7 linked regions of the Callithrix jacchus genome follow. The main gene of each other region encodes a partner of the protein of the gene in region 3 in a complex. Links are inferred from orthologs where the notes say so. Each region holds a gene or a part of one and is shown on either strand. Other genes may lie near its edges. The genes, in order: CWC15, SF3B2, SNRPD3, GEMIN4, RBM48, GEMIN2 and GPKOW.

Region 1 (4,011 bases), on a different chromosome or scaffold from region 3:
GAAGAGGAGGTTGTATGTTCTGGGGGAAACAAAAATCATTTAACTTAGTAAAACAAATACTGCATTTCTTACAATGTTTTAGGGACCTGTGGGTACAAAGAGCCCACATTAAAAGCATTTATGACAACAGAAATCATATCCACAGTGCCTGGCAAATATGCTTTTGGTAAATATTTGTTATTATCATCTCTAATGACTTAAATATTATAACTCACATCAAGTGTAAAAGCAAACAAATGGTTAACATTTTCCAGTTGCTACATGAAAGAAAAACTATCAAAAAGATAATTTTATGAGACAAATGTCTGGGATAGTGTTGGTACCTCGGGTTGGACGATCCCTATTTTTCTCTCTTGCAGCAGCTCTCTCTCTTTCTTCCAACTCTCTCCTGAAGTCACGGTTACGAACCTCTTCAGGGGCATCCTGAGTAGTTTGTCTAAAGTAAAAACGAGCCAGGGCAAAAATGTTACTTACACACACACACAACTGTAGTAATGGAAGACAATTCAAGAATGAGACTTTGTCCTTCAAGCATAAAAAAGGGAAATAGACAAGACCATAAGCTAATCTGAGGGTTACTAACAGCCACTCCTGTGATGTTCCCAATATTTCGAGAAATCCAAATTCAGTATTTTCCCATGATAAGGCTTTATACAGATTTTCTTTTTTTTTTGAGATGGAGTTTCGCTCTTGTTACCCAGGCTGGAGTGCAATGGCGCGATCTCGGCTCACCGCAACCTCCACCTCCTGGGTTCAGGCAATTCTCCTGCCTCAGCCTCCTGAGTAGCTGGGATTACAGGCACACACCACCATGCCCAGCTAATTTTTTGTATTTTTAGTATAGACGGGGTTTCACCATGTTGACCAGGATGGTCTCGATCTCTTGACCTCGTGATCCACCCGCCTCGGCCTCCCAAAGTGCTGGGATTACAGGCGTGAGCCACTGCGCCCAGCCGGCTTTACACAGATTAAAATATCTGTAATTAGTATTATATCAACTCAGAACAGTAACATTTTTAATATATTGACTGGTGCTGATTGTGCATAGTCTCTCTGAGGCATTATTATTTATATTATTTATTGCTCTATCTACATATGAAAATTCCTGGTTAGTAGGAATTTTGCATTTTAAAATCATAGAGCAAAATTTTAGTGTTAAACATCCTGTTGCACTCTATGTCTATGAAAATAAATAAGTAACATAACTCAAACATACTACTATATCATGACCATGTCATTTAACAGATTTGGTCTTGTTTTGCGAACGACAACAAAAAAGTCTTATTACCTGTATTTTATCTTTGTATGAGAAGGTAGGTCTCTGCTTGAATACTGCTTTGAAAGTTGGCTCAAATCACCTTCTCCTTTTCCTCTTCCACCCCTTGCAGGTTCAAAGGTTGGCCTGGCTGCAGTTGTCATCTTTTATGCTTTGAAGAAAAATAGTATCAAGTTATTTCCAACATTACGAACTCTCATTTTAGAGTATTAATCAATATCCATCCTGGTGATATAAGTTCTAAAACTCATTCCCCAAAACTTGCTTAATCTTCTTAAACAAAAGTTTTCAAGAAAAAAAATTATGAGGCTTAGGCAGTACAAGGAATATGGATTCCCAGACATGTCTTAGTACAAAAAATTCTGTCACGAAGATCTGAGTTTGCATCCCTATTCTTCTGACTCTGTGGGCTTCACGAAGTCACCTAGCTTAACTTTCTGTCATCAGCGGAATGGAGATATTCCTCCTAGGATTATTGTAAGAATTACGACACTTGACATGTCAAAACCCTTATAAAATACCGTACTGCCATGACTGAGTTTTAAAAATTCTCAGCTCAACCTTACTCCACCAAACTCTCTAAGGTTTGTATTTTATCTAAATTTCACACAATAGCAAATAGACTAACAGAAACAAAAGCCAAAAACAATTTTTAAAAAATCACTGACGAAGTTATTAAGTGCCCTAGGCAAAAGTGTTAAACTTCAATGACAGTTACATAGAAAAAAAATTCTTAAACAACCTTTTGTTGATCCAATTTTCTTCTACAACAGGCATCATATTATAACTCAGATCTCTTGTGGGTTATAATTTAAGGACTGTTCAAAAAAACAAGAACCTCGCCCCAGAGGATTCTAATACCAAAAACCAGGGACACATTCTTTATTTTCTGCTTGGCGCAATCACAAGAATACTGTCTAACAGATTTAGTTACTAAGACGCTGTAAGTGTCGGAAAAGTGTGTGGGAGGGTGGGTGAATTGGGAGGATTTGTTTTTTCGTTTTTTTTTTTTTTGGCAGGGGTCTATTTCTCTTGATTTCCGAAAAGGGTAGAGGCATGTCTTCAAAGAAGAAACAGGATTATCTGGCTCTGGGGGCACCGCGCCTTCCCACACGCCAACAGAATTATCACTCTGGCCTCCGGAGAGCTAGTCTTTGGCTATAACCAGAAACTCGCTACCTCTTCACCCGTGCCTAGCACTACAGGGATGCGAGGAGTAGTGAAGGGTGGACCTGAGGCTCGCTTTAAGCGGTAGGCGAGCTGCCTTTACGCTGCGATCTTAACCGCAGGCCTAGAGCTCCGGACGCGCCTGACAGGCACTCGGTTCCGCCCCTAGCGAGCTGCTTCAGGGCCTCCGCCGCCCGCGCTCAGCACTCTGCCACCAACTCCAATCCCAACTGCCCTTTCCCGTCCTACCGGGATAAAGAAGATAATCTGTTATCCTCCTGTCACTCACATTGGCCGAGGTCCGATGCAGCAGGCTCCGAATATCATACAGACGCCATTACTACGCTTGGCTCCCAGGAACCTCTGCGTTCAGGGCTAGGCCTATGACCCGGAAGCAAAACCCAAGCGCTTCTGAGGCGGAGATAACAACCAATCCGCAGAGGCCAAAGTGGAAGTTGGCGTAAGGGCAATAAGGGGCGGGGCCTAAACGGCCCAGGGGGCGGGCGTTTGAAATCAGTGCCTTAGAGTAGACCCTAAACATCATTTTATACCTTCAAGAACCAATTACTTAATGTCTCTTCCGTCTTTTCCGTCCCCGACCCCCTCCCAGACTCCATTCCGGTACTGCGTGGACGGAAAGCCCCGGGTAGCCGACACCACGTCCCCGGCTAGCGGGTTAGAGCGTGGAAAAGGATTACACCAAACTGTTTAAATCCAACGACTCCTGCTTCCATCCTGAGCTAGAACCAACAAGCCTAGAGAGTTGGGCTTCGGAAAAACTAGTGTTTTCATTTAATTGGATATGAAGAAAGAACAAATAAGTACGGGGCAACCACGATCTTTATAAAGGTACCATTCCTGCAAAAATATTACACTTCAAAGCAAAGGTTGTATGCGTAATGTTTGCTAAAATTTTTTTATTTAAAAAACGTTAGTTCTTGTGGGAGGGGAGATGTCAGTATTTACGACAGCGTTTAGAACGGTGGGCCCAACTGCCAGAAGCACAGTGTAGTTATTAAGATGGCTACTCAAGTGTTAAGTTTTAATAAGACAACGAAAAGGAGAAAACCCAAAAACCAAAAAACCCACCAATCGTCTCACCTCCCTTCCATAAAAAAATAAGTCAATCTGAGAACAGAGGTCTTGAATGCTTAGTTCATCTTGGTATATCATCACGTAGACCTTGACGTATAGTAGTTACTCAATAAATACTTGTTAAATGGAAATTCAACGTCCCCAACTTAGTTTAAAATGTAAGGAGCTCACAAAATTGAAAATTTAAATGCTTTCTTATCCCTAAATTCTTTGCAACTTTTAAATGAAGGGGAAAAAAAAAAAGCAGAAAAAGCCTTTTCACTCGTAAAGTTCAAGATGAAAATCTTGATTTTTCTTACCAAAGATATCCCTCCTCCAGTGTTAAACATCTCAGTAAAGGTCATCATATTAGTTACTCAAACCAAAATCCCAGAGTGCCTATTTAAATTTTTTTACCTTCACTCTTCACATACAGTTCATTTACAGGTCTTAACAACTCTACTTTAAAAACTTAACAAATTCTATTCTACTGC
Region 2 (3,500 bases), on a different chromosome or scaffold from region 3:
TCAATCTCGACATCAGCTGCTGGGGAGTCAGAGCCACGGGACCGGGTTGAGTCTTTCTCTCGGTCCCCAGAGCTCTCAGAGGACACCCCTCGTACCCGCTGGGGCTTTTTCTTCTTCTTTCGGTTCCTTCGCTTCCGGTTTTTCTGTCAAGAGGAGGAAAACCAGCTGGGTCAGAGAATCCAAACAGGGTGGCAGCACCCCAACCCACGAACTCCTTCCCCAGTGTCCCCCACAGTTCAATGCTCAGGCTTTTTCCAAGGAGGCCATCTCATGAAGTGGTTGTGAAGAGGCCTTGGAGTCAGACTCCAAAGTTCTGCCATTCACAGGCTGTGTACCTTTGGGTAGATTACTGTGCCTCTCAGAACCTCAGTTCTTTCAGCTCTAAAATGTAGGCAAGCATAGTACTTGGAAGTCAAAGCAATTCAATAAAAAATATCTATAAGATGCTTAGGTGGAAATTGGCACAAAATAGAAGCTATTACTTACTGAACACTTACAAATTGTGCTATTTTCGTACCCAAGTCCCATCTCCTGCCTTTCTTTCCAGACTCAGCTCCAACCCTACCTCCTTTTTAGATATGGACACTGTGTCCTCCTCAGTCTCTGATGCTGACTGGCCCAGGGACGAGCGAGCATCTGTTTCCATTTCCTCTTCCTCTGTAAGGAAGAAGGTGGTGATGAGTCTTCACGGTACCAGTGCCCTGCACGCATCACAGTCACCCACCTTTACCAAGAGCCTGACTCTCTAAATTCTCCTTAGGGAAGGGACACAGGAATGAGGACTCAGCCTCGGCCTCTCCAGGTTCTGTGGCTGCAGCCTCAGGACACCCGGCACGCACCCTGCTGAGAGTTCATCTCTTCCTGGCGGCTCTCCTTCAGCTGCAGGATCTTCTCCAAAGCCTGGGGGATCTTGGGCCCTACAGAGGGGTCATCCATCTGCCAGAGACAACCAGTCAGAGGAGATGAATCACAGCACCCTTTTTCTAACTACTTCTACCTTTTGGACTAGAAAGGCTGCTGGCCAGGTGATGTAAGCAGCAGAGTGAGCAACACCAACTGGGCTCAGTGAGGTTCAGAGGGACCCCAAGACTCTGCCTCAGTAATGTCTCCCCAATCCCTCTGCCATACCCTAAGTATAGTTTAAATAAGCAGCACTCCCCACTACCCCCAGGAATTTAAGTCCCCAACTTCTCACAGAACCCTTCTCTAAAAATAGTCCCCTTCTAAACTACCACTCTCCTGTCCCTATGAAGAAATCATTAGTCTCACCTCTCTGTTTTCATCTCCAGGGGGTGGTGGGGGACCACGAGGCCGGGGAACAGGGGCTCCCATGGGCAAAACTGTAGGAGTGGGGCCCACTGGGCCCACTGGAGCGGTTACTGAGAGAAGGGAGAAAGAAATTAAATGTCAGAAGAGACGAAACACATAAAAAAACCACCTTTCTTGCTAAAAAGGTGATGGTTACCCTGCAGTGGAGGAGGGCACGGCAGAGTGGGGGGTAGGTTCTGGGGTTCTGGTAATGTTTTGGATCTTGGTCCAGGTGCTGGTTGTATGGGTGTGCTCTGTTTGTAAAAAGTCATTACACTGTATATTTACTCTATATGCACTTTTTAAATGTGACAGATACTTTAAAAGTCTTTTTTTTTTTGAGACGGAGTTTTGCTCTTGTTACCCAGTCTAGAGTGCAATGGCGCGATCTCAGCTCACCGCGACCTCCACCTCCTGGGTTCAGGCAATTCTCCTTCCTCAGCCTCCTGAGTAGCTGGGATTACGGGCACACACCACCGTGCCCAGCTAATTTTTTTTTTTGCATTTTTAGTAGAGACAGGGTTTCACCATGTTGACCAGGATGGTCTTGATCTCTTGACCTCGTGATCCACCCGCCTCGGCCTCCCAAAGTGCTGGGATTACAGGCTTGAGCCACCACGCCCGGCCACTTTAAAAGTCTTTAAAAATTTTTTGAAAACACCTTCCTTGCCCTTCCCCTCCATTCCAGGGTCTCACCTCGAGGACCCAGAGGAGTGCGCACGCCAATTTGGCCCATGTCTTGTGGGGGCCGAGGGACTGGGGTGCCCATCTTGGCAATCTCCTGCTGTCGTTCCTGCTCCAGTAACACAGCTGCCTGTGGGAGGGAAGTGGGAGTGGAGAGACAGCCTGAAAATGTGTTTGGCAGGCAGCCCCTGGCAAATGCGTTCTTTCAGCCGGGTAATGGGCCGAAGGAGAACAATCACGAACCACTTGGGTGCTGACATCCCCTCACCCTGACACTTCCAAGCTACTAATCCAAATGGAGGAGCCCCTAATCACAACGGAAATCCCTAGAAATAACACCAAGGAAAACCCCAGGAAACTTCTGGTTCCTAACAGAAAATTTCATATTCAGCCAAACACTGCTTTCTACTTTTCAGAGAGTTTTCTTCCCCAAAATATTAAATTATACAGAAGAAACTTTTGAATTCTTTTCTTGTATCTACCCCTCAAGATCCAGCACAATCTGGGCAAAGACAGCAGTTCATCCACAGGTCCAGACTTGTTGCCTTTTTTTTTTTTTTTTTTTTTTGAGACAGGGTCAGACAGTGGCATGATCTCAGCTCACTGCAACCTCTGCCTCCCAGGCTCAAGCCATCCTCCCACCTCAACCTCCCAAGTAGCTGGGACTACAGGTGTGTGCCACCACATCTGGCTAACTTCTGTATTTCTGATACAGACAGAGTTTCATCATGTTTGCCAGGCTGGTCTCAAACTCCTGAGCTCAAACAATCCACCCCCCTCAGCCTCCCAAAGTGCTGGGATTCCAGGTGTGAGCCACTGCACCCAGCTCATACTTATTGCTTTTAACACTTACTTTTTAATATTCCTGAGTAATCCACTGGGTAACGACTAATGCAATACAACTCTGGGGCCAAACATCTTATATAACATTCCCAGACTTATAGTCATATTTTGTCTAAATCCAATACAAATAATTCAATTGCCCAGTGTCTTATCTAGAATGATCTCATGTAAGGCAAGCAGAGATCAGCACATGCTTTGTGTAACAGGTCAGAAGGTAAATACTTTAGGCTTTATGGGCTGCTGTATGGACTCTGCTACATATTTTTGATTTGCATTTTCTTAAAACTCCTAAAAAAATTTACAAGTTATTTTTAGCTCACAGGCCATACAAACGCAGGCCCAGGTCACAGTTTGTTCAATTCCTGAACTTTAAGAAAAATTGAATACTTTGGAAGACACTGGAACTTAGTTGGAGAAAAAACAGCCTCCAGGGAAAACTTGAATGGTACACCCTAAGCACTATAAATGGCCACCAACAAACTGGACCATGAGGTCAAAGGGGAGGAGTATTACCCGCTTCTGCTGTTCCAAGAGCTCATGTTCCTTCAGCGAATGATCTCCCTGCTTAAAAAAGAAAACAAGCTCATACCAGCACCAATATTCCACAGGCCAATCTCTCACAGCTCTTGCTTCTTGAGATCCTCTTCCAGTCAAGGACCCATGTT
Region 3 (4,120 bases):
AAATACAGTATGGGAGAAGATTCTGCTAACCACAAGGCAAGTGAAGGCAAATGGATAATGGCTCTGAATCTGAAGAATTCTACTGAAGTAGCACTTCCCTCAAATAGGCCCCCAACTCTGGGGATGGAAAAAACAAAAAGGACAAAGTAAAATATTCCAAACCTCCAATGGCTTTCCTGCCTCAAGACTGTGCCTTGTTCATGCCCACATTCCCAGAGCCTGTAACAACAGTGCCTGGCATGCATTAGGCACTCAGAAAATCATTGCTGAAAAATAACAACAACAAAATAATAAGAAAAATAAAAATAATAAAAAACAAACAAACAAAAGAAAATCATTGCTGAATGAGAACAATTTTTTTTCAAAGACCCCCAACCCACACCTTTCCGTTCCTCTGAGACACAGGTCCATTCCTCCCACATAGCCTCATGTGCAAAGCAGGATACCTGGCAGTTCATGTTGTCCTCTGCCTCAATGAGCTTCCCACGATATACCTCGCCGGTGTTCGTTTCGCATGTCACAATGTGTCCCTCGGCCTCATGCAGTACTTTAATCGGCACACCAATAGACATCTTGGCAGGAAGAGTTCTAATGAGAGAGGCAACAGTCAGTTCATCATTCAGAGACTGAGAAGGCATGCAGCACATACTGTGCTTCCTTCAAGGCCTAGCCCTCCATAAAACTTAGCAAAAATGCCAAAACTGAATTTTTTTTTTTTTTTGAGCCAGAGTCTCTCTCTGTTGCCAAGGCTGGAGTGCAGTGGCACAATCTAGGCTTACCACAACCTCTGCCTCAAGGGTTCAAGAGATTCTCCTGCCCCACCAAGTCAGGCTACTTTTTTAGTATGGGGTTTCACCGTGTTAGCCAGGATGGTCTCAATCTCCTGATCTCGTGATCCACCCATCTTGGTCTCCCAAGTGTTGGGATTACAGGCGTGAGCATTGCGCCCGGCCCAAAGCTACATTTTCTACAAAAACAAAAACAAAATAAAATAAAACAAAACAAAAACAACTCAGCTCCTGGCTTGGAGGAAACTATCTGGCAAATATGTGCAAGATGTGGGGTGAGAAGGAATGGTGGGCTGGACAGAGATAAAAATAGAAATGAAAAGAGAGCCTCTCCCATCAACCACATGTCCCTACTACCCTATGTCCCTTAATCTTCATCTAAATGACCATTAGCGAATACTGTTCGTGTTGCGGAGTGGGGGTTAGAATGTTATTTGTTGCATTGTTATTGTCAACCGTAATTGTACATGATTACATTTTGAAAATTATATAGGCCTGAGCTGTCCAATACAGCTCATGTCCACATGTAGCTATTTAAATTAAACTTACTTAAAACAAAATAAAATTAAAATAAAAAACCCAGTCTCAATCCCAGTGGCCATATTCCAAGTGCTCAATGGCCATATGTAGCTAGTGGCTCCCCTATGGAAGGTGCAGATACAGACCAAAGGACCCATGAACACCTAGGAGAGGGGGCTGCACTTTTAATTCAGCCCTTTAACCCCTCACTTACTTTACCATCAAAGATGAGGAAATATCAAAGTGACAATATGCTCTATTCAGGAAATGCTTGTCATGGAGGAAAATCAGGGAAATCACCTGATTTGACCTAATTAAAAGAATCAAGCAGCCAGGCGTGGTAGCTCAAGCCTGTAATCCCAGCACTTTGGAGGCCAAGGCGAGCGGATCACCTGAGGTCGGGAGTTCAAGACCAGCCTGACCAACATGGTGAAAGCCCGTCTTTAAAAAAAAAAAAGAATCAAGCAGTGAACTTTTTATTGAGATAAGCAACGACTCAAAGTTGGAACGTAAGTGCACTTAACAGAGGAGAACGTGAGGTTGAAGAAACAGGTTCCTTTGGTGAGGATCCCTTGCTTTCAGCTTTAGGAGTCTACATTTTATACTGAAAATAGTGGGGAACCACTGCACGATTTTAAGTAAAGAATGACGTAATGAAAAAAGCAGCAGCACTGCCGGGCGCAGTGGCTCACACCTGTAATCCTAGCACTTTGGGAGGCTGAGGCGGGCGGATCACCTGAGGTCAGGAGTTCAAGACCAGCCTGACCAATATGGTGAAAACCCGTCTTTAAAAGAAAAAAAATTTTTTTTGAATAAAAAAAAAAAGTGGCAGCATTTATTTATAAAATGGATAGAATGTAAGGTTTAGAAGCAGAGAAACTTGTTAAAACTTCTGCAACAGTGTGGAAACCATGAGGGGACCACTACCTGAAAGGGGGCTGGAGGCAGAGATGCAAGTAACTTTTAAAAGAATGATCGGCCGGGCGCGGTGGCTCACACCTATAATCCCACCACTTTGGAAGGCCGAGGCCGGTAGATCCCTTGAGCCCAGGAGTTCAAGACTAGTAAGGGCGACATGGTGAAACCCATCACTACTCCAAAACAAAAAGAAAAAATAAACAGAAAAAAGCACTCACAGGATTTGGGGAAAGGAGACAGTCAACCAGAAATGACTTCAAGATTACTGCCTGGAAGCTCTGAAAAACACTGACCTGGAGAGATACAAAAAGTGAAAGCATGCACGCTGAAGCTAATGAACTTACTTCTAGGCGCTAGTGAGGCGATGCTCGCTGATGTCTGGGTGGCCCAAGCTTCCCGCTTTCTTCCCTCCCCGAGCCCCGCAGAGTTCCATGCAGCGAGTGGCCCCTCGACCCCCCCTTGCCCGTCCCCAGCCTCACCAGCTCCGGCCTCCTTCTCCTCTTCGGTGCGGCGGCAAATGAGTCTACGGCTAAGGCGTGAGTTCAGCGAATGGCGGGCCCAGCTCCCAGAATTCCAATCGTTCCCAAAATGCAGCGCGCAGGGCCCACCTCCTTCCTTTCCCCATTGGTAAGTGCGGTCTCGTCTCCGCTTCCTCTTCGCTGCGCCCGCCGGCTGGGAAACTAGGGCACCGCTACGATAGTTCCGGCACCAGAAGAGACGGCTGATAACTGGGCCCGAGGGCCGCCGGAAACAACGACCCTTGGGCCGGCAACGAGCCGCAGAGGGTGCTCGCACTTCCAAGCACCCCACACCAAGGACAGGCTGGACTGCAAGGCGGAAACCCGGGGCCTGGGCCGTCAGACCCGGGGCCTGGGCCGTCAGACCCGGGGCAGCAGGAGGTTGGGCCAAGGGCCAGGACTTCCCCCTCACAATTTAATTTTTTGATCCCGGCACCGCTAGGTAAGGGGCGCCCTGAGCGGGGCGAGGTATCTCGTACGGATAAAATTAGGTATAGAGTAGGGCGGCGGCCGGCTCAGGATCATCCCTAAAGGCAGTTGAAAGAGAGTTGTGGCCGGGCGCGGTGGCTCATGCCTATAATCTCAGCACTTTGGGAGGCCGAGGCGGGTGGATCACGAGGTCAAGAGATCGAGACCATCCTGGTCACCATGGTGAAACCCCGTCTCTATTAAAAATACAAAAAATTAGCTGGGCATGGTGGTGTGTGCCTGTAATCCCAGGTTCTCGGGAGGCTGAGGCAGGAGAATTGCATGAACCCAGGAGGCGGAGGTTGCGGTGAGCCGAGATCGCGCCATTGCACTCCAGCCTGGGTAACAAGAGCGAAACTCCGTCTCAAAAAATAAAATAAAATAAAAATAAAAAAATAAAAAGAGAGTTGTTTGGCGCTTCGGCAATGCATTGGGCGGGACCGGTGCTTACACCTAAGGCTGCAAAGGAGCGGGTCACGGCAGAGGCGGAGTTTGCTGAAGAGACGAACCTCTAGGAAGCATCTGCACTAAGTGCACGAGCTTCGGGGCGGGCCTCAAGGAAAGGGGTGGGGCTTCCGGGGCCCGTGTCCTGGTGGGCAGCGCGTCTACGCGAGGATTGGGCGACGGGGCGGGGCCACCCGACGCAGAAGCGGCAAATGGCCGGGGCGGGCTTAAATCGAGAGACTGGGGGCGTCTAGAATCAAAGTTTGGGGCGGGGCTTATGGAAGGGGCGGGGCCTTTAGATTCGCGAACTAGAAGGGCCGGGGCGGGCCTTGGGGAGGCCCAGCCGCCGCCTCCAGTTCTCCCCACCGCATCGGCGGCGGTGGCGGCGGAGGAACTGGAGACGCACCGGCCGCCCTCCCGCCCCAGCCGAAGCGGAAGCTGTAGCCCGCTCTGGGCTGGGGCCAT
Region 4 (4,136 bases), on a different chromosome or scaffold from region 3:
ATTTTGGCTATCAAGGCACAGATGTTCTCCAGCAGTGGAAATGCCCCATGCAAGTTGAAGAGAAAAGCCAGCTGGGAAATGTGATTCTGGATTTTGGCTATCGAGGAGATGTCCTTCAGCAGTTGCAATGCCGGGTGGAAGTTCAGGGGGTAAGTCAGCTGGGAAATGTGACTCTGAGAGGCATGTGCCCAGAAGGGGATCACCGGAACCAAGAGAGAATGAGATCCCTCAGGAAAAGTAAAAAGAACAAGCTGGGCTGCTGAGGGCAAACCCTTCAGCAAAGGATGGGCCAGAGGAGGATGTGGGGAGAGAGGTTCAGAAATAGCACGAGGACAGTACAAACGACAGAGCTATTGAGCATGTACCACAGGACATGACAGCTGAGTTTCTCATGACAGATGAAGGGGGAAGAGTGATAATCACACAGCCACAGGGTAATGAGGACAGCCACAATCATGCAGCCACAGAGTAACAGCACAGCAGCAATCACACAGCCACAGGGTAATGGGCACAGCTGCAATCACACATTCACAGGGTAATGGGCACAGCCACAGAGTGACGGCACAACAGCAATCACAGCCACAGGGTAATGGGCATAGCAGCCATCACACAGACACAGGGTAACGGCACAGCAGCCATCACACAGCCATAGCGTAATGAGCACTGAAGCAATCACATGGCCACAGGTAATGGGCACAGAAGCAATCAGACAAGCCCTGCCTTCGCCCTTCATAACCTTGCCTTGGGAGCAGGCTTCAAACATTGTTCTACCTTTCAGGGAAACAGTCCACCCCACAGCTCCTTCCAAAGACAAGCTACTCATGGCCCAGGCTCTGTGGGAGAAACCAGGGAGTAGATACAGAAAATACTTCATTAAATTAAGTCCTTCCTGCAGAGAAGGAATAACTGACAGACTTACATCTTGGGATGTTTAATCAAACATAGGTTTGATTCCTAGATCAGCCATTTAAAAGTAATGTGATTCTGGCCAGGGGTGCAGTGGCTAGCACTTCTAATCCCAGCTACTTGGGGGGCTGAGGCAGGTGGATCCCTGAGGTCAGGAGTTCAAAACTAGCTAAGGTAACATAGTGAGACCCCCCCAGACCCCTAAAAAAAGGGGGGTGGGTAAGGGATGTGATCATGGTCAGATTGCTTCTCCAAGCCTTCCTTCTGCAGCTTTGGGGATAATACAGACTTCTTGTTACGACTCTGAGGATTATATGATGCATACCAGTCAAGCCCCTGGTAGTGGGTTAGTACTGCTATCTCCTGACCCCATCTCCTGGAGACGCTGTGATGGATAAATGTGATACAGCTACACTAAGAATCAGGTTACAGAGCCTGATCAGGGCTCAGTCAATGTTGGTTTCCCCAAACCTTCTCATCATTGGCAGGATCAAAACCCTGTCACTGTTCTTTGCCTGCCCCAGCTCAGAAACATCAAAGGACATAGGTTTTTATCAGGTATGTTTCCTTTGGCCCAGGAAGTAAAACGAGGGTACAAGCATTGCTCACTTTTCCTCACTTCTGAGTCCTCTCCTTTTCCCAGGATCGGGACAATGCTCACCATTCCTCACTCCCTAGTCTTCTCCCTTTCCCAGGATAGACACTGCTCACTATTCCCCACTCCTGAGTCCTCTCCCTTTTCTAGGACCAAGAGATGCTTCTTCCTCAGTCTCTCATGCCCCTGAGAGCTCAGTCTCCATTTTACAGGCCAGACATCAGCAGAGATAACACGGATTCCAGGAGACTAAGGACTGTCTTGCCCTTGCCACCATGTGTGGGAGCAGCCACAGGCCCAGCGCTCAGCACTCCCATGTAACCCATTTGCGGAGAAAATCCACCTCAGCTCACAGTGGCTGAGGCCGAGGCTGCAGAGGGATCTCGCTAGGGTTACCGTCAGGAGGCTCGCCCAAACCCCAAAATGCGGCCCCCCCTAGCGCTGCAAATTTAATTTTACTGCGTTATCAGCTTCTTTGGGCCAATGTCTGGCCATCCACGCGCGCCTTCCAAACGCAGGCAGTCCGCCGCATTTGCAGCAGTAGCGCCAGGGCAGTGACGGCTGGAAAACCCGCCGGCGCTCGGTCAGGAACGGCGCCCAGCGCGCGCCAGAGCCAAGAGCTAGGGCTACCGGGTGGTTCCGCGCTCACCGCGCCAGCCCCGCGCCGGGTCACATGCGAGACCTCACGCATCACGACCACCTTGACAACGCCGTTCCCGCTCAAGGCCCGAACACGAAGCTGCAGAAACGCTTTTCTCAGGGTGCCCGGACGCCATTCCGCTCCCGAGAGCTGGTGCCGAAGCGCCGCGGCCCCAGCTCTCCGGACGCCCGCCCACCTGCTCCGTGTTCCGGGCCTGGCCCCGACCACTCCGGTTCCGAGGCGCGCAGCCGCCCCGGCAACTCTGCGCGGGACCTGGACGCCCGCGGCCTCCGTGGAGAGTCGCGCAGCCCTCGGGGGCAGACGCACCGTCCCCCTCCCGCTCCGCCGAGACGAAGCCGGACGACAGGAGACACGCGCCTTTCAGGAGCGCGGCAGTCCGGGCGCTGAAGGAGCCGCGCTTCCATAGCACGTGCGCCGGCCCAGAGGGTTCCACCCTCACTCCGCGGCGCGACTCCCGAGGCCGGGCCCGGGTCCCCAGCCAAAGCCACCCGGAACCCCAGACCCGCCCCGACGCGGAGGACGTTCCGCCTGGGCCCATCAGTGCGCGCAGCGGGAGGAGACGCGCCAGGGAGCACCGCCCTGCTGACGCGTGGAGGGACGCAGCCCGGGCAGGGAGCGCGGCACCCACCTAGGTCCATGGTAGCGACGCGGGCGGTTGCGCGGGGTTGGCTCTCCCTCTCAGAGAACGCGGGCGCGGCGACGAACGCACGGCACAATGGGCGGCGCAGGCGCCACGGCGGCCGTGCTCAGTCCCCGCCCATAGCCCCCCGCGCAAGCGCAGTCCTCACGGAGGAGCGCGCAGAGCCACAGCACCGCCTCCTCGCAGAGGCCTCCCGTCCGTCAGGTATCGGGCGTTGCTCCCGGGCCTGCCTCCGGGTCCCAGTGCGTCCGGCTTGAGCCCCGGCTCCGCATTCACCCTCATCCGGTGACCCCGGGCGCGTCCCGCACACTGTCCGCCCCCACCCAGCGCGGCCTCCCCACGCGCGGCTTCCTCCCGCCCAGCTCGTCCTACGCTCGCACTCTGTGCGCGCCGCTGCCGCGCCGCCCCCTTGGGACGGCCGCGTTTGGGACCGGAGGCGCTTCTCACGTCTGCTCCTCCACAGAAACATCGTGGACAGACCCAGACACTGGCTCCCGGGCCTGCAGTCGCGGAGAAGAAAATACAGACTCTGCGTGTTCTTCCACGCGCCGCCCGTCCCCTGCCCCCGAGTTGGAGGTCTGACGCCGGCCTTTTTACCTCCCCACCTCCGGCCTCCAGCACCCGGATCGCCCGGAAAGGCCCGGCCGCCTCCCGCCCCATGTGCCAAGTGGAGTTCGAGCTGGCGCGCACCGCCCTCAAGCAGCTGAAGGGCCCCCTGAGCGACCAGGACAAGCTGCTGCTCTACGGCTGGTACAAGCAGGCCACCCGGGGCGACTGCCACCTCCCCGCGCCTCCCGCCTCTGACCTGAAAGCCAAGGCCAAGTGGGAGGCGTGGACTGCGAACCAAGGGCTGTCCAGGATGGACGCCATGAGGGCCTACGTGGCCAAAGTGGAGGAGCTGACCAGGAAGGAGGCTGGCTGAGGGCTCCTCGGAATGGAGTGGCTCCCTAGACCTTGATGGCTGAAATGGAGAGTAACCGGGTTAGCTGAAACACCAATAAATCACTGACACTGCACGAGAGTGACTGACTGCTGTGGAAAAAGAAACTCGTTGACTGGGTGCTGGGGAGGCGTCCAAATACACAGACCGCAAAAACGGTGTGGCTTTGGGTGGCGTTCCCAGCCTTCCTATTGCTAGAGCGTACTGGGAGGGATGGTGTGCCGTGGAAATGCCCACGATCTGAGGTCAGCGAGACCCTTCTCCACTGATGGCCTCTGGGGAGGCTGAGGCCCAGCCCCTTACCTCTTCAAGAGTGATTAATGAACACCCAACACTACAGAGGGGAAAGGGACTCTGTCCTAAACACCGAAACCCCCACTGGAACACAGGGCCT
Region 5 (4,010 bases), on a different chromosome or scaffold from region 3:
GAACTTCAAATACGCTATCCTTTTGCCCCCATAAGCACACTCAAATTCTTGAGACCATGTGCCTCTATTTTTAATTATGAAAGTAGGGACGCTGTATCTCCACCAGTGGTTACAACTGTGAAACTTCCCTACCACAACGTCCAGAAAGGCGACTGATCTCAGAGCTTCAAGTGATCCTAACTACGTTACGTGTTCCTAACACACCACAGCTGTGTTCCGAGGGTCAGCGACGCCGCGCAAAACCATCATTGTATTAATCTTTCCCGCTTATGGGACGCGGTGGTCAGTCCCCGGGAATCTACCCGGGCTCAGCCAACAATTCTCCGCCTCCCTCTCGCGGCCGGGACGGCAGCAGCGCAGGTAACTGGAAATGACTGGCAAGAAAAACACCTTTTAAAATAACAAAAACAAACGACTTCTCAGGAGATATTCCAACCTGGAATAAGGAATATTTCTAAAAACAATGGTAGAATGTTAGAATGTTTCTAGGCTCAGTTTCACCAAGTGAAAAGACCTGGGATAAGACAAGCCCAGGGCTGCCCAGGACTTGTGGGACGCAAAGACTACTCAGAGGGGCCCTGTCCTCGAGGGACCCTTCGTCTGACCTCTGCGCGCTTCGGCGGCGCCCGAAAGGCAGCAGGCATCCCGCCGCCTCCCAGAGAGGTTTCGGCCTAGTCCGACCCCAGGCTGAACAGCAGGTGGCCGGAGCCGGCACGTTACCTGCAGCAGGTGCAGCTGGGCCACGAGACGCCGCGGCAGGTGGAGGAAGCAGTCGCGAGCGTTGGTGAAGACCACAGTCACTGCCGTCCCGCCTCGCCCAGCATCCGCCAGGAGATCGCTGCCCCACATCGTCCTTACGCGTCGCTCCGGGTTCGCCCCACCCCAGCGCCGCAGCGGACCCGGGACCTGGCAGGCCAAGGGCGTCGGAGCCGGAGGAGATAGATCGGCCCCGCCCCCTCTGACCGCTGCGCCTCTCGTCGCAAGCCTGTATTAGGTGGAACAAGCGAGCTTCTGCCACTCACCGCGCCTCTCCGCGGTGCCGCTCGCGGGGGCGGCAACTCGTTCATCAAATCCTCTCACGCAGGAAACGATGGCCGACGCTGTCGATTCTCCAGCCAATCGTGGGACTCCTTGACTCATCTCGCTCTCTTATTGGGGAAAAGGGAGCTCAGCAGGGCGGATGTTGTCCTCCCTGCGAGGATCAAAGCAGGCAAGATGGCGTCGAGCGGTGGGGAGTTAGGGAATGTATTTGACCACCACGTCCAGCGGGCGGTATGCGACACGCGGGCCAAATATCGGGAGGGACGACGGCCTCGTGCTGTCAAGGTAAAGTGATTTTGGTTTCATTCGCTCTCTTCGGTAGCTTTATATGAGTGCTAGCGCCATATAGCCAGTCTACAGAAATAAGGGCAGGACAAGGCTGCTGTCAGATCCCTCTCTCTTTAGAGCTAGCGTGAAGAACCTTGCTTGGGTCAGTTATCAAAGATTCTCACGATCCTTTTGGTCAACTATTAGAACAGCACCTCCACGAGAGTAAGGCTTGGTTTTAGTCATTGGATCTTCTGTATTTACAGTACTACTTGGCACAAGGTAAGCGCTCAGTGAATACTCGTTGAGTGATTGTTCCCGGTGAATTCTACCGACTCAATTTCTGGAAAAAAATGTCGACTGAAGGTAGTCTGTTATATGCCTTTGTTAGGTACCCTCTCACATGGGCTGTTACTCTTTATGCAGAGGGAATGAGAGACATTTTATTTTGTGTTTGGGTTGAACAGATTATTTCTTGTTTTGAAAGCGCTGTTTAAAAAAAAATAGAGGCAGATTCGTCCTAGGTTTATTTGCGAGATACATTTAACGACTCTGCATTTCTTTCAGGTATATACAATCAATTTGGAATCTCAGTACTTACTAATACAAGGAGTTCCTGCTGTGGGAGCCATGAAAGAATTAGTTGAGCGATTCGCTTTATATGGTCCAATTGAACAGTATAATGCTCTAGATGAATACCCGGCAGAAGACTTTACTGAAGTTTATCTTATTAAATTTGTGAACTTACAAAGTGCAAGGTAATGTGCAAGTTAAGCAGTGACTCATTTTCTCCATTCATATTTCTATCATTTTGGGCCCAAGTTTCCCTCATTCATACCTCATTCAATGTAATCTAGCCTATATTCCACTTATTTTCCTCTAGCCTTTTTAAAGGTATACTTTACTTGAAGCACTGTTCCCATCACATCATTCCCATGCTTAACAATTTAATGTCCTGTGGTGTGGTAGATTAAAAGTTGGGTTTGAAGTTAGGACACGGTGGCTCTCGCCTGTAATCCCACCACTTTGGGAGACTGAGGCAGGCAGATCACTTGATGTCGACAGTTCAAGACCAACCTGGCCAACATGACAGAAACCCCAGCTCTACTAAAAGTACAAAAATTAGCTGGGCGTGGTGGTTGGGACCTGTAGTCCCAGCTACTCAGGTGGCTGAGGCATGGGAATCACTTGAACCTGGGAGGTGGAGGATTGCAGTGAGCCAAGATCATGCCACAGGACTCCAGCTTAGAGTCCAAAAAGGCTGAAGTATGCAATGCCTTATCTATTTTTATGTTATAAAGCGAGGCTCTCAAAAAAAAAAAAAAAAAAAAAAGATGGGTTTGAGGCCAGGCACATGGCTCACACCTATAATCCCAGCACTTTGGGAGGTCGAGATAGGGGGATCACCTGAGGTCAGGAGTTCAAGCCCAGCCTGAGCAACATGGTGAAACCCTGACTCTACTAAATACAAAATTAGCCAAGTGTGGTTGCACAAGCCTGTGCTACTGGGAAGATTGAGGCACAAGGATCACTTGAAACCAGGAAGTGGAGGTTGTGGTGACCTGAGATCACACCACTGCACTCCAGTCTGGGCAAGAGTGAGACTGTCTCAAAAAAAAAAAAAAAAAGTTGAATTTGATCCCAGCACTTTGGAAGACCAAGGTGGACAGATTGCTTGAGCCCAGTTCAAGACCAGACTGGCCAACATGGTGAAACGCTGCCTCTACGAAAAATACAAAAATCAAGCTGAGCATGCCTGTAGTCCCAGCTACTTGGGAGGTTGAGGTGGGAGAATCAGTTGAGCCCAGGAGGCATAGGTTGCAGTGAGTTGTTTATGGGCCACTACACTTTAGCCTGGGGGACAGAGTGAGACACTGTCTCAAAAAAATAAAACAAAAAGTTGGGCTTGGAGTAAGTTTTCCAGTCCAACTGCTTACTAGCTTCATGACCTTGGACAAGTTATTTAACCAGGTTAAACCTGTTTTTCCTCTTCCATAAAATCTATATGCTAAAGGGACCTTCTTGAGGTAGTATGCTGATGAAATGAGATGATCCATATAAAGGGTTTAGCATAGTCCCTCCTGGTCAGAATACAGTAAGCATTAGCTATTGTCACTCCTTTCTGCGAATTGACTCAGTTTTTTCCAGCCTTCTATCTGATATAAGCCCTCTGCTCAAAAAAAGCTGAAGTATGCAATGCCTTATTTGAATCCTTGCTCCTCAAACGAGAGTATGAGCATGGCTAAGTTATATAATGTCCTAGTGCTTCACTTTCATTATACAGTTGTGAGGTATTAATTCAAGGGAAGCACTTATGACATTGCTTGGCATATGATAAAATCTCAACAAGTATTAATATTATCCCTGGATATAGGAGTAGTTAAATTTATTTATTGTAGTACTTGGCATATCATAGATGTTTAGTAAGTATTGACTGAATAACATTTTTATTTTCTCATTGTTATATATTTAGTATTTCCTCAGTTATTGAAGGTATTATGATTATAGTATTTTTCATCTGATTTTTAAGGCATAAATCCCATTACAGAAATACATTGTGCTGAAAAAGCTTAATTGGATATGAACTAACTCTTCAGGGCCACAGAAAAGCTCTATTTTATGACCAGAGTTTACATACCTCAGGCCAACCAGCTGGGTCCTTAGTTGCTTAAAGACTAGGGAACAAATCCAAGAGGTTTAAA
Region 6 (4,013 bases), on a different chromosome or scaffold from region 3:
CAATTTAATAAGAGAAATCTGGAAAGGCTTATACTTGGAGTTTCTTTTTTTTTGAGACAGAGTTTCACTCTTGTTACCCAGGCTGGAGTGCAATGGCACGATCTCGGCTCACCGCACCCTCCACCTCCTGGGTTCAGGCAATTCTCCTGCCTCAGCCTCCTGAGTAGCTGGGATTACAGGCACGCACCACCATGCCCAGCTAATTTTTTATATTTTTAGTAGAGGCGGGGTTTCACCATGTTGACCAGGATGGTCTCAATCTCTTGACCTCGTGATCCACCCGCCTCGGCCTCCCAAAGTGCTGGGATTACATGCTTGAGCCACCGCGCCCGGCCCTATACTTGGAGTTTCTATGAAATCTAAATGACGTTAGCCCAGAGGATATGATCTAGTCCTACCTGCCTTTCTAGAATATCAAACAGAAACAAAAAGAGAGACATACCGTTTCAATCAATCCATCCATCTATCAAATTAGGTATATAAGACATTCTGTTCCATTAAATGTCTATCAACTAATGAGCCGAGACCGTGCCACTGTACTTCAGCCTGGGTGACAGAGCAAGACTCTGTCTCAAAAAAATAAATCAATCAACTAAAAAATCCTGAAGAGGAATTACAGGAAACATTATAGTGTCTGAATTAAAATTTTCTGATTATAAATATCAGATAGAGAAATTACTTTCAACATGAAAAGGAAATTACTATCAACAATTTAAAATGCCACCTCCTTTAAGCTTAGGTTAAATAGCACCTCCTTAGAGAGACCTTCGCTGGCCAGGCGTGGTGGCTCACGCCTGTAATCCCAACACGTTAGGAGGCTGAAGCAGGCAGATCACTTGAGGTCAGGAGTTCAAGACCAGCCTGGCCAACATGGTAAAACCCCATCTCCACTAAAAATACAAAAATTAGCTAGGTGTGGTAGCACACACCTGTAATCCCAGCTACTCAGGAGGCTGAGGCAGGAGACTCTCTTGAACCCGGGAGGTGGAGGTTGCAGTGAGCCAAGATCACACCACTGCATTCCAGCCTGGGCGAAAAAGCAAGACTCAAAAAAAAAGGGGGGGGGGAGGGAAGAAAGACCTTCTGTGATTCCTCTATCTACAGTAGTTCTGTCATTTATTGATTATTACATATGCTTATTTTCTTCATAGCAATAGTCACAACATGTAATTATTTGTTTGCCTGTTTACTCTCTGTCTACAAGGGTAGGATCCTTTTTTATCTTATCCTCTGTTACATTCCCAGTGCCTGGCACAACGTAGTCCCTTAATTAAAAATGTGCTGGATAAATAAATAAACGAAAATGTCCACAGTGTGCAAGTAGCTGTAAAAGTGTAAGATATCTGAGTTTCTATTTTGACAAAAAGTGGAACTTTATCAAATTCAGAACACACAAAGCACAATAGGATTAAACACCAATCTAGTAACTGGAAAAAGATTCCTTAGGAAAAAAAAAAAAGGAGGGCCCAGTGCGGTGGCTCACGCCTGTAATCCCAGCACTTTGTGAGGCCGAGGTGGGCAGATCACCTGAGTTCAGGAGTTCCAGCCTAGCCAACATGGTGAAACTCCATCTCTACTAAAAATACAAAAATTAGCCAGGCGTAGTGGCAGGCACCTGTAATCCCAGTTACTTGGGAAGCTGAGGCAAGAGGATAGCTTGAACCTGGGAGGAGGAGTTTGCAGTAAGCCGAGATCCTGCTGCTGCACTCCAGCCTGGGTGACAGAGCAAGACTCTGTCTCAAAAAATAAATAAATAAAGGGGTCAGGCACAGTGGCTGAAGCCTGTAATCCTAACACTTTGGGAGGCAGAAGCGGGAAGACAGCCTGAGGCCAGGAGTTCCAGACCAGCTGGCAACAGAGACTCCCTCTCTATAAACAAACAAGAAAAAATAGAAGATAGCCTAAGTAACCCATTTAAAGACTCCTTTGAAAGGATTGGATAGTGTCCCTGAAGAAAGATGGGCAAGCTCCACAAATGCTAGAGTTACAGAAAACCTCTTCAGAGGCTGTAAATGCCAGTTGCCTTTCTGGAGGAAAAAGTACAAGCGAATGTCTATCTTTGAAGGGAGTAGTCAAATCTTACTTACACCATAATTGATACTGTCGGATACTATAGGAAGAGCCTTAGTCTTTTAATTGAGGGGTTGGGGGTAATCTCCAGACGGTTAATAACTCACAGAAATATTCACACTTTGCTTCCTTTTCAACTTCTTTGGGTCAATTTGAGCTACCACAACATCTGGACACTGAGCTGCTTCGATCCTACAAATAAGTAATAAATGCAAGAAATTAAATTTCTATTGTGCTTTGCTCAGGTGTAGTAAAACGAGCGATCCATTTCCATAGTTGATTGTGAAATTAAAAAAAAAAATTCAGACTTCCACTTGACGTACTAAAGAATATATTTCTGAAATTATCTGGATTGAAAACAAATCTAAGATCACACATCTTGGTACATTCAATCATGTTAAACAGAAACTCGCCCACGTAAGAATGTAATCCAGAATCCTGAACAGACCCGAACTCGCAAGAGACTGGAACGGGAAGAAACAGGACTTTATAGAACGCAGGTCGAGAGGGGCACCAGGGGCTGTACCCCGGGGCAGGGCAGACGACCAGCCCACCCGCCCAGGGCCAAATCACTCACTGGACCCGCCTCAGGTATTCCTGAGGCGTCCTCGGGGGTACCGAGGGATCGAAAGCTTCCGTCAAGTCGCAGGGCTCTACCGGTAATAGCCGAGGCATCAACTCTTCCACAGCGGACTCGGCTGGTACCCACGCCATGGTTTTCAAACCAGCCAGCTCCACTCAGCGCATGCGCCCACTCTAGGTCACGGCGCAGGCGCACAAGTAGGAACCTTGGGCGCGGAGCTGAGCAATGGCAGTTTAGGGAGCGTTAACTGCGCATGAACAGACTGCTGCTTGCCTCAAGGTTAAGGCTCCGGTGGTGTAATAAAGGATCTGAGAATTTAATTCCTAGCTGAATTGGTTCGAACGCGTTTCTGGTCTTTTACTCCCTGTTTTGTCTTCTCACGCTGGGCAAAGGCCGAGGGTTAGCAACTTTTATGCATCCTTAGTAGTGAAGGATCCTTAAAAATGGTTTTTGAATTAATGAACAGTATTACTGTAATTATCATTCTTGGAGCTCTAAATTCTTAACCCCGACATAAACACACACATTTTCTCACTTGATTCTTAAAACAATCTTGTAAAGTGGGGAGTAATACTCTGTTAGGGGAGGGACTGAGCTTCTCCCAAAGGGGAAGACACCAATTCCAACATACGCTTATCCGATGCCAAATGAAAGAAAAATTAATTTTCTACAGGAATATCTAGTGCTTGACCACTTCAAAGATCACTGTATGTTTATTTGGAATGAGTATTACTCCTAGAATAGCCAGCACTTTTTATTTTTTTTGAAGAAAAATATCTTCGTTTAAATACAAATAGTGAAAAATATGAAGCTAATGCTAACATACAGAAATTAACAAAAATGTTAGGTCAATCTTGTTAGGTAGATAGTATCATCTCCATTTCACAGGTGAGGAAACAGGGCAAGAATGTGCAAGAAACAAGTATTATATCTGATTATTTCTAAACAAATACAATTGAGTGAATACAATTGACTTTTCTAAAATTTATATTTCTTTTCGAAGGTTTTTAAAAAAATTTGTTTATATTTTAGCACTGTTTTTAGGTTGCAAGGAATCGATTTCAAACAAGGATGTAAGTTTAAGTTGAAGATAAAAAAATTAAACAGGATAGTCCTTAGCTTTTTTTAAAAATTATATATATATATATTTTATTGCACTTTAGGTTCTGGGGTACACGTGCAGAACATGCAGGATTGTTGCACAGGTACATACAAGGCAATGTGGTTTGCTGCCTCCATCCCCCATCACCTATATCTGGCATTTCTCCCATGTTATCCCTCCCAACTCCTTCCCCTCCCCTGTCCCTCCCTTATTCCCCCCCAACAGACCCCAGTGTGTGATGCACCCCTCCCTGTGTCT
Region 7 (4,048 bases), on a different chromosome or scaffold from region 3:
AAATAGTATGCTGATGGTTGCCAAGGGCTGGAGGAGTAGAGCTAAAGGTTTGGAGCGGGTGCTGTGGCCATGCCTGCAGTCCCAGCTACTCGGCAGTCTGAGGCAGGAGGATTGCTTGAGTCCAGGAGTTCTGGGCTGTAGTGTGCTATGCAGATTGGGTGTACACACTAATTTGGCATCAATATGGTGACCTTCAGAGCCAGGGACCACCAGATTGCCTAAGGAGGGAGTGAATCTACCCGGGTTGGAAACATAGCAGGTCAAAACTCCTGTGCTGATCAGTAGTGGGATCACGACTGTGAATAGCCAGTGCACTCCAGCCTGGGCAACATAGCAAGATTCCATCTCTCTCAAAAAAGGCTATAGGGGTTTGTTTACTAATTTATTCATTCTCTTTAATTTTTTTTTTATTTTTGAGACAGAGTCTCACTCTGTTGCCCAGGCTGCAGTGCAGTGCATCTTGGCTCACTGCAACCCTGCCTCCCAGGTTCAAGTGATTTTCCTGCCTCAGCCTCCCGAGTAGCTGGGACTACAGGCACCTGCCACCATGCCTGGCTAAATTTTGTATTTCTAGTAGAGACGGGGGTTTCGCTATTTTGGCCAGGCTGGTCTCGAACTCCTGATCTCATGATCTGCCTGACTTGGCCTCCCAAAGTGCTGGGATTATAGGCATGAGCCTTCACTCCCTGCCCATTCACTCACTTATTGAGACAAGGTCTTGCTCTGTCGCCTAGCCTGGAATGAATTGTTGAGATCAGGGCTCACTGTAACACCCACCTCTCCTGTTCAAGTGATCCTTCTGCCTCAACCCCTGAAGTAGCTAGACTACAGGTATTGGCCATCATGTCAAGCTACTTATTTTATTTTTAGGAGAGACAGGGTCTCACTATGTTTCCCAGGCTGGTTTGGAACTCTTGGGTCAAGTGATCCTCCTGCTTCGGCCTCCCAAAGTGTTGGGATTACAGGCATGAGCCACTGCAACTGGCATGGGGTGTCTTTTAGGGGGACAAAAATGTTCTGAATTTATGGCCAGGGGTGGTGGCTCACACCTGTAATCCTAGCACTTTGGGAAGCTGAGGTGGGTGGATCATGAGGTCAGGAGTTTGAGACCAGCCTGACCAACCTGATGAAACACTGTCTCTACTAAAAATACAAATATTAGCCTGGTGTGGTGGCAGGTGCCTGTAGTCCCAGCTACTCAGGAGGCCGAGGCAGGAGAATCACTTGAACCTGGGAGATGAAGGTTGCAGTGAACAGAAATTGCGCCACTGCACTCCAGCCTGGGTGACAGAGTGAGACTCTGTCTCATAAAAAAAAAAGTTCAGGGGGTATATGTGCAGTTTTCTTATATAGATAAACGTGTGTGATGGGGGTTTGTTTACAGATTATTTCATGCCCCAGGTATTAAGTCTGGTAACCATTAGTTATTTTTCCTGATCCTCTCCCTCCTCCCACCCTCCACCCTCCAATAGGCCCCAGTGTGTATTGTTCTCCTCATGTGTTCATGTGTTCTCATCATTTAGCTCCCACTTATACTGAGAACATGCGGTATTTGGTTTTCTGTTCCTGCCTCAGTTTGCAAAAGATAATGATCTCCAGCTTCACCTATGTCTCTGCAAAGGACATGATCCCATTCTTTTGTATGGCTGCAGCTAAGCTTTTCACAAAGAACTTAACGTACTGAAGGTGAGGAAGTTGGTAGTAACAGTCAGACTTGAACCCAGGCTGCCTAGCACCAGAGTTTGGAGTCTTACCCAATTCTCCATATTGGCTCAGGGCTTGCGCTGTGTTTTCAGCCTAGCTCTGTCCACTGCCCTTCTTCACCTTCTGTTCTTCCCCATATCCTTGCAAGCCTCCCGCCCCCAAGGTTCATTAAGGCAGTCTCCAGAGCCACTTACTGTTCACAGCTCCCAAAAACTACCAAAGGTTTTTCACGCCTGGCTGTATTTGCCATGATAGAACCTCTGCATGGAAGGCAAGGGGGTCTGTGGGACAGGCGACTATTCATGAAATTATTGTCCTTATAGCCCAGAAAGATAAAGGCTAGGGAATGGAAGAGGCGGAGAAAGTGGTTAGGGACTCTCAATAGAAACTGTCTCAGCCCCGCCCCTTACGTTCACTTTCTAGCCGCAGCTCCTGGAACCTGGAGCCACGCCCAAACTGTCTTCGCACTCTCCTCTCAACTAGTCCCCAAAGCTCCATCTCCTTAAATAATCCTGGGCCCGACCATTTCAATACCTCCAAGACCTTACCTTCCTATCTCCCTCTACTAACGCACAGAAAACATTTCTCAAATAACACCTTCAGGATTATCTTCAAATATGGTCACACACACATGCAAACTCCATTCGGTCCTCCCTGGAGGGTGCTACTCCAAAATTTGGCTCCTGAACCCTCCAGAGCAAACCATTTAATTAGCCTCTAACCCTCATCCCATTCTTGACATCGCAAGCCCCGCCCCCATGGGCCTATAGGCTCCATCCCCTGACTCACATTTCAGGCCTGCCCCTTCGCTGCAAGCTCGCCCCCAGCACTTTCCAGACCCCGCCTCCTCGGAAAGGAATTCTCGAAGCCCCACTGGCCAGAACAGGGATCCAGCCCCGCACTCTCAACTAATCTGGTCCCCGCCTACTGCGATAACCCTCAATGAATATTCTAGGATAACCCCGAGGCTCCACCCACTCTAAGCACTTTCCGAGCCCCGCCCTCCCAAATCGTACCTCTTGGCACCACCCAACGCAGGGCAGTAGCCGCTGATTCCACGGGCCTACCCTTCTGAAACCAGCTCCTCTCCTAACTCGTCCCACGGGAGGCCCTGCCCCTGTCACGTTCCCTCCTTGGGGCGCAGGCGCAATGTAGCGCCCTGCTCTGCGTAGCACCGCCGCCCGCGCCGCCAGGGGGCGCGCGTCCAGCCACGCCAAGAGCTGCCCGGCGCTGTGGCTCGCGGCCTGCGCAGGAGAGGGGAACAGGTCAAAGCCGACCCTCGGCCTCGGCCAACCCCCACTCTTCCGGACGCCCGAAGATCTAGAAATGACCCTCAGGACACTGGGCGACCCCTAGCCACTCCCTCGATAGTTCCGGAGTCGCCGCTGTCCCTCCCCCTCACCCATCCCCGACCAACGCGGGTAGCCGGTGCACTCCCGCTTGCCCTCACGGTGTCCCTGGAGATCGCTGTTAGACTGCAATAGTCCTGGACACCTCTGAACATCCCGTGAGGTCCTCGACTGCCCCCTAATCACCCTGGACGCCCAACTCTTCGTCCATGACATCTCCTGGGAACGTTTCCCCCAGATATCCTGGGAGAACCCGGCCTGACCCTGTAGCCCTGGGACCCCCAATTCCCACTCTAGGTATCCTAGGCAACCCCTGCTATCCCCATGAATTCCCTCAGGAGGCCCGTTCCCCCCATGACCCATGTACCTCCAGATTCCCCCTCCACAGGTCCCCAGGGACCCCCAGCTCCCCTACTCCCAGTTCACTACAGACCCTGAGTGCCCAGGTGTCCCCAGTGACCACGGACAGACTCCTCCCCGCACATCTGCACATCTCCCTGGAGACTCCTGAGAGCCCCTCTCCGGTTCTGTTGTGCAGGCGTTTCGCTCCGGTGTGGGTGTGGGTAGGGGACCTCAAGCCCAGCCTCTATCGCTGGGCCCCTGCCCCCTGTCACCGCCACTTGGGCGCCAGAGCAGCTCTGTTTACCACCTGTCAGAAGGAAAAAATGTGGAGCGGACAGGCGGGAAGAGGGTGGCAGCGACTCGACCTGTCCTTCCCCAACACCCTCGATCCCTGTACCTCCTCTGCTCCCCCTAGGGTCCGTGGTGCACCCTGTGCGAGGACCCATGGCCAGTAGTGGGCCGGGTGGACGCAGGGCAGCCAGCAAGGAATTTTGAGTGCTGGGGCGTGTTCACCTGGCAACCCGCTTAGACCCTGGAGGCTGAGGCTGGCGGGTCTTGTGCCTGGTTCCTGGATCTGCAGGGTGGCGGAAAGGAGGTCAGCAAGGAAGCCTGGCTCCGTTAGCTGAGGACGCTGGGCTGGCTCCTTTTTCCAT

The links.
Region 1: SNRPD3 (region 3) and CWC15 share a complex: the UniProt entries of both Homo sapiens proteins name them as parts of the minor spliceosome. The link is inferred for Callithrix jacchus from reciprocal best matches to the Homo sapiens genes SNRPD3 and CWC15.
Region 2: SNRPD3 (region 3) and SF3B2 share a complex: the UniProt entries of both Homo sapiens proteins name them as parts of the minor spliceosome. The link is inferred for Callithrix jacchus from reciprocal best matches to the Homo sapiens genes SNRPD3 and SF3B2.
Region 4: SNRPD3 (region 3) and GEMIN4 share a complex: the UniProt entries of both Homo sapiens proteins name them as parts of the SMN-Sm complex. The link is inferred for Callithrix jacchus from reciprocal best matches to the Homo sapiens genes SNRPD3 and GEMIN4.
Region 5: SNRPD3 (region 3) and RBM48 share a complex: the UniProt entries of both Homo sapiens proteins name them as parts of the minor spliceosome. The link is inferred for Callithrix jacchus from reciprocal best matches to the Homo sapiens genes SNRPD3 and RBM48.
Region 6: SNRPD3 (region 3) and GEMIN2 share a complex: the UniProt entries of both Homo sapiens proteins name them as parts of the SMN-Sm complex. The link is inferred for Callithrix jacchus from reciprocal best matches to the Homo sapiens genes SNRPD3 and GEMIN2.
Region 7: SNRPD3 (region 3) and GPKOW share a complex: the UniProt entries of both Homo sapiens proteins name them as parts of the minor spliceosome. The link is inferred for Callithrix jacchus from reciprocal best matches to the Homo sapiens genes SNRPD3 and GPKOW.

Annotation. Positions count from the first base shown.
Region 1 is NC_133511.1:45,351,626-45,355,636, reverse strand, and holds the start of CWC15 (spliceosome-associated protein CWC15 homolog), read right to left. Parts: upstream 2,801-4,011; 5' UTR 2,693-2,800; intron 1,428-2,692; 5' UTR 1,420-1,427; coding exon 1,289-1,419; intron 437-1,288; coding exon 324-436; intron 20-323; coding exon 1-19. UniProt on the Homo sapiens protein: Involved in pre-mRNA splicing as component of the spliceosome. Component of the PRP19-CDC5L complex that forms an integral part of the spliceosome and is required for activating pre-mRNA splicing.
Region 2 is NC_133511.1:123,131,227-123,134,726, reverse strand, and holds part of SF3B2 (splicing factor 3B subunit 2), read right to left. Parts: intron 3,400-3,500; coding exon 3,349-3,399; intron 2,123-3,348; coding exon 2,005-2,122; intron 1,380-2,004; coding exon 1,270-1,379; intron 937-1,269; coding exon 840-936; intron 658-839; coding exon 566-657; intron 144-565; coding exon 1-143. UniProt on the Homo sapiens protein: Component of the 17S U2 SnRNP complex of the spliceosome, a large ribonucleoprotein complex that removes introns from transcribed pre-mRNAs.
Region 3 is NC_133502.1:195,106,386-195,110,505, reverse strand, and holds the start of SNRPD3 (small nuclear ribonucleoprotein Sm D3), read right to left. Parts: upstream 2,801-4,120; 5' UTR 2,705-2,800; intron 2,519-2,704; exon of another isoform or gene 2,444-2,518; intron 589-2,443; 5' UTR 573-588; coding exon 447-572; intron 1-446. Other genes in the region: protein GUCD1, read left to right, coding at 3,933-4,120. UniProt on the Homo sapiens protein: Plays a role in pre-mRNA splicing as a core component of the spliceosomal U1, U2, U4 and U5 small nuclear ribonucleoproteins (snRNPs), the building blocks of the spliceosome.
Region 4 is NC_133506.1:63,630,192-63,634,327, reverse strand, and holds the start of GEMIN4 (gem-associated protein 4), read right to left. Parts: upstream 2,801-4,136; coding exon 2,338-2,800; exon of another isoform or gene 875-2,337; coding exon of another isoform or gene 742-874; exon of another isoform or gene 1-741. Other genes in the region: uncharacterized protein LOC118153659, read left to right, coding at 2,799-3,006, 3,266-3,384; diazepam-binding inhibitor-like 5, read left to right, coding at 3,461-3,724. UniProt on the Homo sapiens protein: The SMN complex catalyzes the assembly of small nuclear ribonucleoproteins (snRNPs), the building blocks of the spliceosome, and thereby plays an important role in the splicing of cellular pre-mRNAs.
Region 5 is NC_133512.1:57,090,155-57,094,164, reverse strand, and holds the start of RBM48 (RNA-binding protein 48), read left to right. Parts: upstream 1-1,210; 5' UTR 1,211-1,215; coding exon 1,216-1,326; intron 1,327-1,875; coding exon 1,876-2,066; intron 2,067-4,010. Other genes in the region: peroxisomal ATPase PEX1, read right to left, coding at 721-849. UniProt on the Homo sapiens protein: As a component of the minor spliceosome, involved in the splicing of U12-type introns in pre-mRNAs.
Region 6 is NC_133509.1:73,778,970-73,782,982, reverse strand, and holds the start of GEMIN2 (gem-associated protein 2), read right to left. Parts: upstream 2,801-4,013; 5' UTR 2,785-2,800; coding exon 2,648-2,784; intron 2,263-2,647; coding exon 2,178-2,262; intron 1-2,177. UniProt on the Homo sapiens protein: The SMN complex catalyzes the assembly of small nuclear ribonucleoproteins (snRNPs), the building blocks of the spliceosome, and thereby plays an important role in the splicing of cellular pre-mRNAs.
Region 7 is NC_133524.1:49,690,242-49,694,289, forward strand, and holds the start of GPKOW (G-patch domain and KOW motifs-containing protein), read right to left. Parts: upstream 2,801-4,048; 5' UTR 2,721-2,800; exon of another isoform or gene 2,494-2,720; intron 1-2,493. UniProt on the Homo sapiens protein: RNA-binding protein involved in pre-mRNA splicing. As a component of the minor spliceosome, involved in the splicing of U12-type introns in pre-mRNAs.